Cricetulus griseus: one gene and its partner. The protein of the gene in region 2 purifies or fractionates together with the protein of the main gene of each other region. This does not show direct contact. Links are inferred from orthologs where the notes say so. Each region holds a gene or a part of one and is shown on either strand. Other genes may lie near its edges.

What was found.
Region 1: the proteins of Fyb1 (region 2) and Lcp2 purify together in Homo sapiens (co-immunoprecipitation; 6 studies listed by BioGRID and IntAct, with this or other methods). This does not show direct contact. The link is inferred for Cricetulus griseus from reciprocal best matches to the Homo sapiens genes FYB1 and LCP2.

The regions. Positions count from the first base shown.
Region 1 is NC_048600.1:49,258,393-49,262,047, reverse strand, and holds part of Lcp2 (lymphocyte cytosolic protein 2), read right to left. Parts: intron 3,486-3,655; coding exon 3,473-3,485; intron 2,869-3,472; coding exon 2,739-2,868; intron 796-2,738; coding exon 746-795; intron 1-745. UniProt on the Homo sapiens protein: Adapter protein primarily involved in signaling pathways within T-cells, as well as other immune cells such as platelets, mast cells, and natural killer (NK) cells.
Region 2 is NC_048595.1:340,308,718-340,312,472, reverse strand, and holds the start of Fyb1 (FYN-binding protein 1), read right to left. Parts: upstream 2,715-3,755; 5' UTR 2,605-2,714; coding exon 2,575-2,604; intron 1-2,574. UniProt on the Homo sapiens protein: Acts as an adapter protein of the FYN and LCP2 signaling cascades in T-cells. May play a role in linking T-cell signaling to remodeling of the actin cytoskeleton. Modulates the expression of IL2. Involved in platelet activation.

The DNA of each region.
Region 1 (3,655 bases), on a different chromosome or scaffold from region 2:
CTCCTGAATTAGATCCACTTGAACATGATTGCCAGGCATCTGTATGTACATTGAATGTTGAGAACATTCACAGTGGACACTCAGTGGCAGCATCATTAGAAAAGGAAAGCCTCTGGCCTCTCCTACTAACTCAGAAACTTGTGTTGTTTTTCTGAGGCATGATCTCATGTAGTCCAGGCTGGCTGCAAACTTGCTCTTTAGTTTAAGATGGTCTTAAACATTTTTGTCTTAGACTCTTAATCCACCTCCCATGGGTGGAGATTACAAGTTTGAGCCACCATATCTGGTTTCATACAGAATCTCTGGGGCTGGGTTTTTGTAATCTGTATTTTGAATATGCTTCCCTATTCACAGCCTGAGAACAGATTCATCTTTAAGATAACAAGGAAGCTAGGTGCTGCTCTGAGCTCTTTATCAAACCATCAGGGACATAGCTCTGGGTGGGAAGATGAGGGACTAAGGCTGGCCTGCAGCTATTATTGTTGTTGCTGCTGCTGCTGCTGCTGCTGCTGGTGGTGGTGGTGTGTGGGTGTGTGCACATGTGTTTGTGTGTGTGTGTGTGTGTGTGTGATTTCATGTAGTGTCTCATTCCAACAGCCCTTGGTACCTTGTAGACATTGAATTAAGTGTTAAATGAAGAAGCCATATACTTTTAGGAAACAGCCTTTGCTTAAAGGCGTTGAGACACATTACACTGTTACCATAAGGACATGTTAGTAGGCAGAGATCACAATTGTGTACAAACCTTGAGAGAAGTATGGTGGCAGGGAGGCACTCTGCTGGAAACCAATGTTACTGTAGAAACAGAAAAAGAACTTTACTGGTATCTCAAGATGGACGAAGTCTAATAGGCTTCAAAGCCAAAAGCAGGCAACAATAAAAATAAACCTTGTAAACTGAATTTAAAAGTTACTTTTAAAATGGGGCTGTGGTTTGGGGTCTTTGAGTCGATAGAAGGACCAAGGAAGGAAGACACACTCATCAGAGTGTGTGAACAGTAAATCCCCAGGAGTTGCTGGTCTACAGAGAGAGGGTGGGTCCAGGGGGAAGAAAGTGATGGGTGCTGCTGCATGCAGAGAGACATTCACAAGGCTGGGATGGAAGGAAATCTGCAGAGGCCCTGGAATGCTATCTGTTTTCTCTATGCTAAGCACCAACACCAGTCATTAGCCCAAATAGTGATGGTCTGCTCTGCACACCTGGTCTCCTCATTGGTAGTTTTCAAGAACAAAAGATGGGGCTAGAGCTGTGTGTGGGATAATGTGCACATGGACATGGCAATAAAGAAAGCCAGCTGGGGGAATGAATGGGAAGAATTGAAGGCAATAGGACCCTGGGGCAAAGGGAAGACTTCAAGAATTTCCCCAGAGAGTTGGCAGAGGTGGACTGGTTGTGCTGGTGGTTCCATTTTCCACAGCATGTAGTGAGAAGTTGGGCTTCTTTTGAATACTAAAGCATTGGTGGACCGGCAGGTCAGAGGCCCTGGGAAGCATAAGGCAGCCCATTGGCTTGCCTGCGCAGGGATGATCTGGGTCTTGCTTGGTTCTTCTGGCCATGCCTCTGTTTCTGGGTGGTCTTATTGTGACCGAAAAATTCTAGTTTTAGAGGAAAACAATGCTTTTGAGGACAGCTCCCAAGCCTGGGTGCTTGGCCTCTGTCAGATGCAAGACACATTCTCTATTTCCCTAGAGGGGGGAAGAGAGAATACAGGAACTTCAGTTAACTGGGTTCTTTCTTTCCTTCCTTCCTTCTTTCCTTCCTTCCTTCCTTCCTTCTTTCCTTCCTTCCTTCTTTCCTTCCTTCCTTCCTTCCTTTTTCTTCCTTTCTTCCTTTTTTCTTTTTCTTTCCTTTTTGAGACAGGGTTTCTCTGTGTAACAGCATTAGATGTCCTGGCACTAGCTCTGTAGAGCAGGCTGGCCTTGAACTCACAGGGATCTGCCTACCTCTGCCTCCTGAGTGCTGGGATTAAAGGTGTGTGCCACCACCATCCAGCTGTCAACTGGGTTTCTTAATGATGTTTGCTTGTTTGTTTGTTTGTTTGTTTGTTTGTTTGAAATAAGCAAGTGAAAACACCCACCATTTTTTGTCAATGTGTCCATGGGACAAATTGTGAACCAAGTCATTCCCCACTCCCCTCAAGCTCAGAAACTCAGAGAACAACTAGACTTGCAGGTTGTTCACCAAACTCATTTCACTTTAAAGGAAAGACAGTTTTTGCCCAATGGCTCATTTCTTTTTCCCTCAAGCCACCTGACATTTGCCACAACACTAAGCTGTACTGATTAGTTGCAAATGTTAACATGACACAGCCAAGGATCTCCTGGGTAGGCAGGCTCAACTGAGGAATTATCTAGATCACATTGGCCTGTGGGTGGATCTGTGGGGGATTGTGTTGATGGTTAGTTGGGGTAGGAGGATCCAGCCCACTGTAGGTATACCATTTCATGGGCTAGGACCTGAACTGCATACATGAAGAAGGCCAGGCAGCTAACAAAGTAAGCAAACAGGTAGCAGGGATCATTCATTTCTCTGTGCTCTGGCTTATGGATATGATGTGACTAGCTACTTGAGTTCCAACCTCGGCTTTCCTGAAATATTGGGCTAGAACCTTAGATTGTGAAAGAAACCCTTTATCTGCTATTTTTTTTGGTCAGGTATTTGTCACAACAACATAAATGAAGCTAGAACACAAGACTCCAGACATTATACTTCCTTAGAACTGAGTGGTCATCCCTGACCTTTCTGAGAAGATTCCTGGCATTTGAGACAACGGGAATGCGTGCTTGGGGCTGGGCTTGGCAGATCTTGAGGGGAAGGTGTTGGAGCTCATAGGAGGTAGTGATGGCTGGGGCAAAGTTCTCTGATGCACTGTGGGGGAAGAAGAAAAAAATGAGTAGTCAGAATCAAATCTGGGGATATTTGGAGTACCCCCAAGCTTAAACCAAACCCAAGCCCCAAACCAGTTGATATGGAGAGACAAAAATCTAAAAGATCAGATATAATTAGCAAATGGTAGGAATATAACCTACCTATTTTTTCCTAGATAGTTCACCACCTTGGGATGCACTTAAAATTGCTGTTGTTCTCTATAGTGAATTTTTAATTTTATTTTTTGCACTGTTTACTTGGAAGAAACTTGCTAGTGGGAAAGTTGTGAATTCAAATTTTTATTTTGTCTTCTGAAAGCTAAAACCACATGCTATTTTGTCCATCCACAGTTACTGATTCTGGACCCATGTATGTAAGAGGGTATAAATAATAGAAAATTTTTTACCAAGACATACATGCAATTTTCTGTGCAGTTAGGTGTTCTGAACACATGAACCTAAGTTTTCTTTGGTAAACCAACCAAGTAATTCCTTTTCACTACAGCCATGAGGTGTAGCAATTGGTATATGCCTGTTTATGTTAGTTTGACATGCAGTGTTCCATACTCAATACAGAATAGGTTGTAAAAAAACTCTAAACATACCATCATCTTCATCCTGTAAGGGAAAAATAATAAAAGATATTAACTTATTGTCAATGAAGCATCCATCAGCACTAACCCCTTCTTTTGTGAGCTGCGGAAGTTTTCAAAGAGGAAGAGGAGGCAGGCTTGGAAGCAATTTGTGTGAGACTTGGACTCTACAGCATCTTCCTGACCCTTTCCTCC
Region 2 (3,755 bases):
ATGGAAAAGAGACCACATTTCAAGCAAGATGAAAGGTGACACCCAACACCAGAGGTGTCCTCACGCATGCCAGGGAATGTGCTCACCTGTGACATACATACATGTCAAACACACACCATACACAAAATAATTTTAGAAAGATACTGATATACTATATACGGTTTTCATTATTTTTGTGGTTACTTCCCAGTGAAATCTTTGATAAGCCACAGGGAAATGTGAGCAATTAGATAAAAATAAAATCACTCAAAGTTTTCTCAAGTCAACATCAGACCTCCCATCTGCCACCCAATCCAAGGTGACACCTAAGTACTTCTGAACATGTTACTAAATGTTCAGGGTTCCCACTCCCACAGGAGTGGTTTTAAGCAAGTGATGACTGTCTGTATCTCTGGGGTAGGAAACTTGAGCCATGATGATCCTGTGCTGCTGTATTATAGACCACAAGTTGGTATAGAAGAGATAGTAAGTTGGGAGGGTGTGTAGTGGAAGTGGGGGAACCTTTTTACTCCCAGCATTATCACTCCCAGGATCAAATGCCTGTTTAGGATATCAGTATCCCTCTTTATTGCCCAGCTAAATTTCACCTCTAACTTGTGCCCATTCCATCTGACCAGGAAAGTGATTACTGTTCACTCCTGTTACCTGTCCATATGCTTGTTTCTCTGTTTCCACATTAGAAGTAGAACTTATTATTGCTATTTCATGCAAATTATTGCTGTTTAATTTTTAGAAATGATAACATTTCTACTCAATTAAAAAATTTAGTTGATATCCTGAGTCTTGAAATAGGTTAACCAACCTGGAAACCAATGGCCAAGGGAGTCATATTTCAAGTGTGGTGATATGGTGCTGGTGACCACACTAGTTCCACTGTGTGTGCATTGAAAGCCTTTACTGATGTATTTGAGAATGCAATCACCTGGCCCAAGATCAATGGGTTCCTCTGTCCCAGGGATCTGAGTGTAGTTTGATAGCACTGCGTTCCCCTCTAATGCTCTGAAAAGACGAGTGTATGGCAGCCCGAGCCACACCCTTCCACCGCCAAGATTAATGTGTAGCAGATGATGTTCAAATGAATGTCTCAGTGAAAGCTCACGACGTCTACGTGCTTGGCTTGTGAGCCAAGTGTGTTCAGATCATAGTTTGTCAAAGAAACATATTCCTCCACTGTGCTTACTCTCTGCTGTGTTTGGCTATAAGATGCCCAGACTCACTGGTAATGAAGATGAAAGTGGGTTATGTGGAAGTGGAGAGCAGACATGGGTTCTGCTGATTTTCTTTGACTTTTGTGGTCATTTCCTCTTCCTTACCTCAAAACTTCTGCATAAAGAGAAACATCATAACTCACACCATGCACGATTGGCTCCTATGTAATGTGTGAAAACAAAACCCCAAACAAAAAACCAGTAGCTCTCCTCTAACATCTTCTGCCTTTTCTTCTAACTTCAGCATTATTTTTATCATCTGTTCTTTATTTTGCTTCTCCAGAAAGCTGGGAAACTTTCTGGGCAGCTTTGGAGTTTAAAGCTTTTAAAGATCTTGGAAATACATTTGCATCAGAGAACAAGACTTAAAACTGAGAGATCGGGAGGGGGGTGGAGAGAGGGCTCAGTGGTTAAGAGCATTGGTTATTCTTCCTGAGGACCTGGGTTTAGTTCTCAGTGCCTACATTGTAGTTCATAATTTGCCTATGGTTGCTCCATTCCAGAGGCTCTTGTTGCCCTCTTCTGGCTTCTATGGGTACTGCACATGGTGTCCTAACACAGGTAGGTGAAATTATATATATATTAATTATATAAATTAATACACACACATATATTATATATATATATATATATATATATATATATATATATATAAAATCTTTAAAGAAAAAAACAACATGGACAGAAAAAAGTTCATGAGACCTCACCCTACACAAAGAACGACAAGTCACTATGGAATGCTGAGAGCAGGAGAAAGTCTTTCCCAGGGAAAACACAAATTGATTATCCAATACCAAATGGTCAACCCTGAGATATATACATATAAGTAGTATTATGCAGACTGAGCAGATTGTATTTATGTATTTAGAAATATAGATAAGTAGCAACAATGGAAAAAAAGAACACCTATGAATCTGAAAGAGAATGAGAGGGGGGCTACATGGGAGGATTAATATCTGACTTATGATCCCCCCCCTTGAACTTTAATTTGTTTTATCTAGAATTTATCTTTTCACAACAAAGCATGCACTGCTTTATAACTATAGCATTTGGTTGGAAATATGAGGAAATACAAAAGATAAAATGTTTAAAATAGAAGATTCAAGAAGCGAAACAATTTTTCTTCATTCTTGATGAATTGTTTTGACCAGTTTTTTTTTTTTTTTTTTTTTTTTTTTTTTTTTGAGTGGGGTAAGGGATCCTGAAGGTCACAGTGGTCACAGGGATGGCTTTCAATAACACCACAATGCTCCCTTCCCTTCCTGCTGGCTCCACCCTTTTGATTTGGTTAGCAAGTTCCCATACCTGGCAGTATGCACCTAGAGGCCCTGTCTGGTTTGGCCCCCTCTCCACCCCCACAGCTCACCGTGTTCCCTGTTAGCCTCTTGTCCTTCATGGGTCCTCATGTCTCCCTTTCCCTGCTGAGGCTCTTATTCCTGACTTTCTCATCAGGTGAACATGTCTGGATAGGTTTTTCTCTCAGTGTCCCAACAGTCACCATTCTCTTACGACATGTGACATAGGCAATCTGCATTAGCCTCCTTTCTCTGACTCACATTCTCACCTCCCATCAGCTTGGCCCAGCCCCTCCCAAAGATCTTTGGAATTTACCACTCCCCTCCCCCACTGCCCCTCTCACTTCCTGTCTGACAATGCCTTAACTTCTTATAGAACTGTTCTTCAAATGGGATCCTTCCCCATAGGACTGTCATCAAGATATTCCTGTGATAAATGAATCATATATTCCTGTGATAAATGCTTAAAGCATTTCATTGGCATTCCAACCCTCAGGATAAAAGTAACCCAACTCCTTCCTCCCCCCTTTTTATTGACCTTATGGCTTTACTCATGCTAGGCAAGCACTTTAGCACTGAACTGTATTCCAAGCCCTCAAAGACAAGTGAGGCTTTCTTTCACTAATTTGGAACACATCTATAGTCACACATGATATCCCTCTTTCCTTATGTCCATACCTGCCTCATTCTGGTCTTCACATGGGTTGCCTGACATCTGTATTTAAGCTCAGCTCATATTTCACCCACATACTCAAGACTCTTTTTCCCCCATTAGAGTACTTGCTACATCACATGGTAATATCTTTGTCTTGGTTTCATTAGACATTGTCATTGGTATGGTTCTTCATTTGTCTGTGTCTTAAGAATAGTAGTCATTGGACTTTATGAGTTACCTCCCTATGAGTTATTGTTCAGAGAGGCCCAAGAACAGTACAGGCTATTACCATGGCTCTTGGCTGCCCACCTCAACTAGATGGTAAGATCCTATTGCTGAAGACACCACTCTTGTTTCAGGACCCAGAGATATAAAAATTAAACTGTCCAGGAAACTCTCCCTGTTGGTCAGCTTTCACACTTCTGAAAGGTGCTTGCTAGGTAGGCTGCTGAGAAGAAAATATATCAATGATCTCATGGAGTGCTGGCCCCTACATGTTTTAATACCAATCCTCCAGGCAAGACATGCTCATTGGTGTAATAGTAATAAAAGATTGTCTGTGGGGGTAACCAACCATTCCCTTGATAGGTCTTGAGG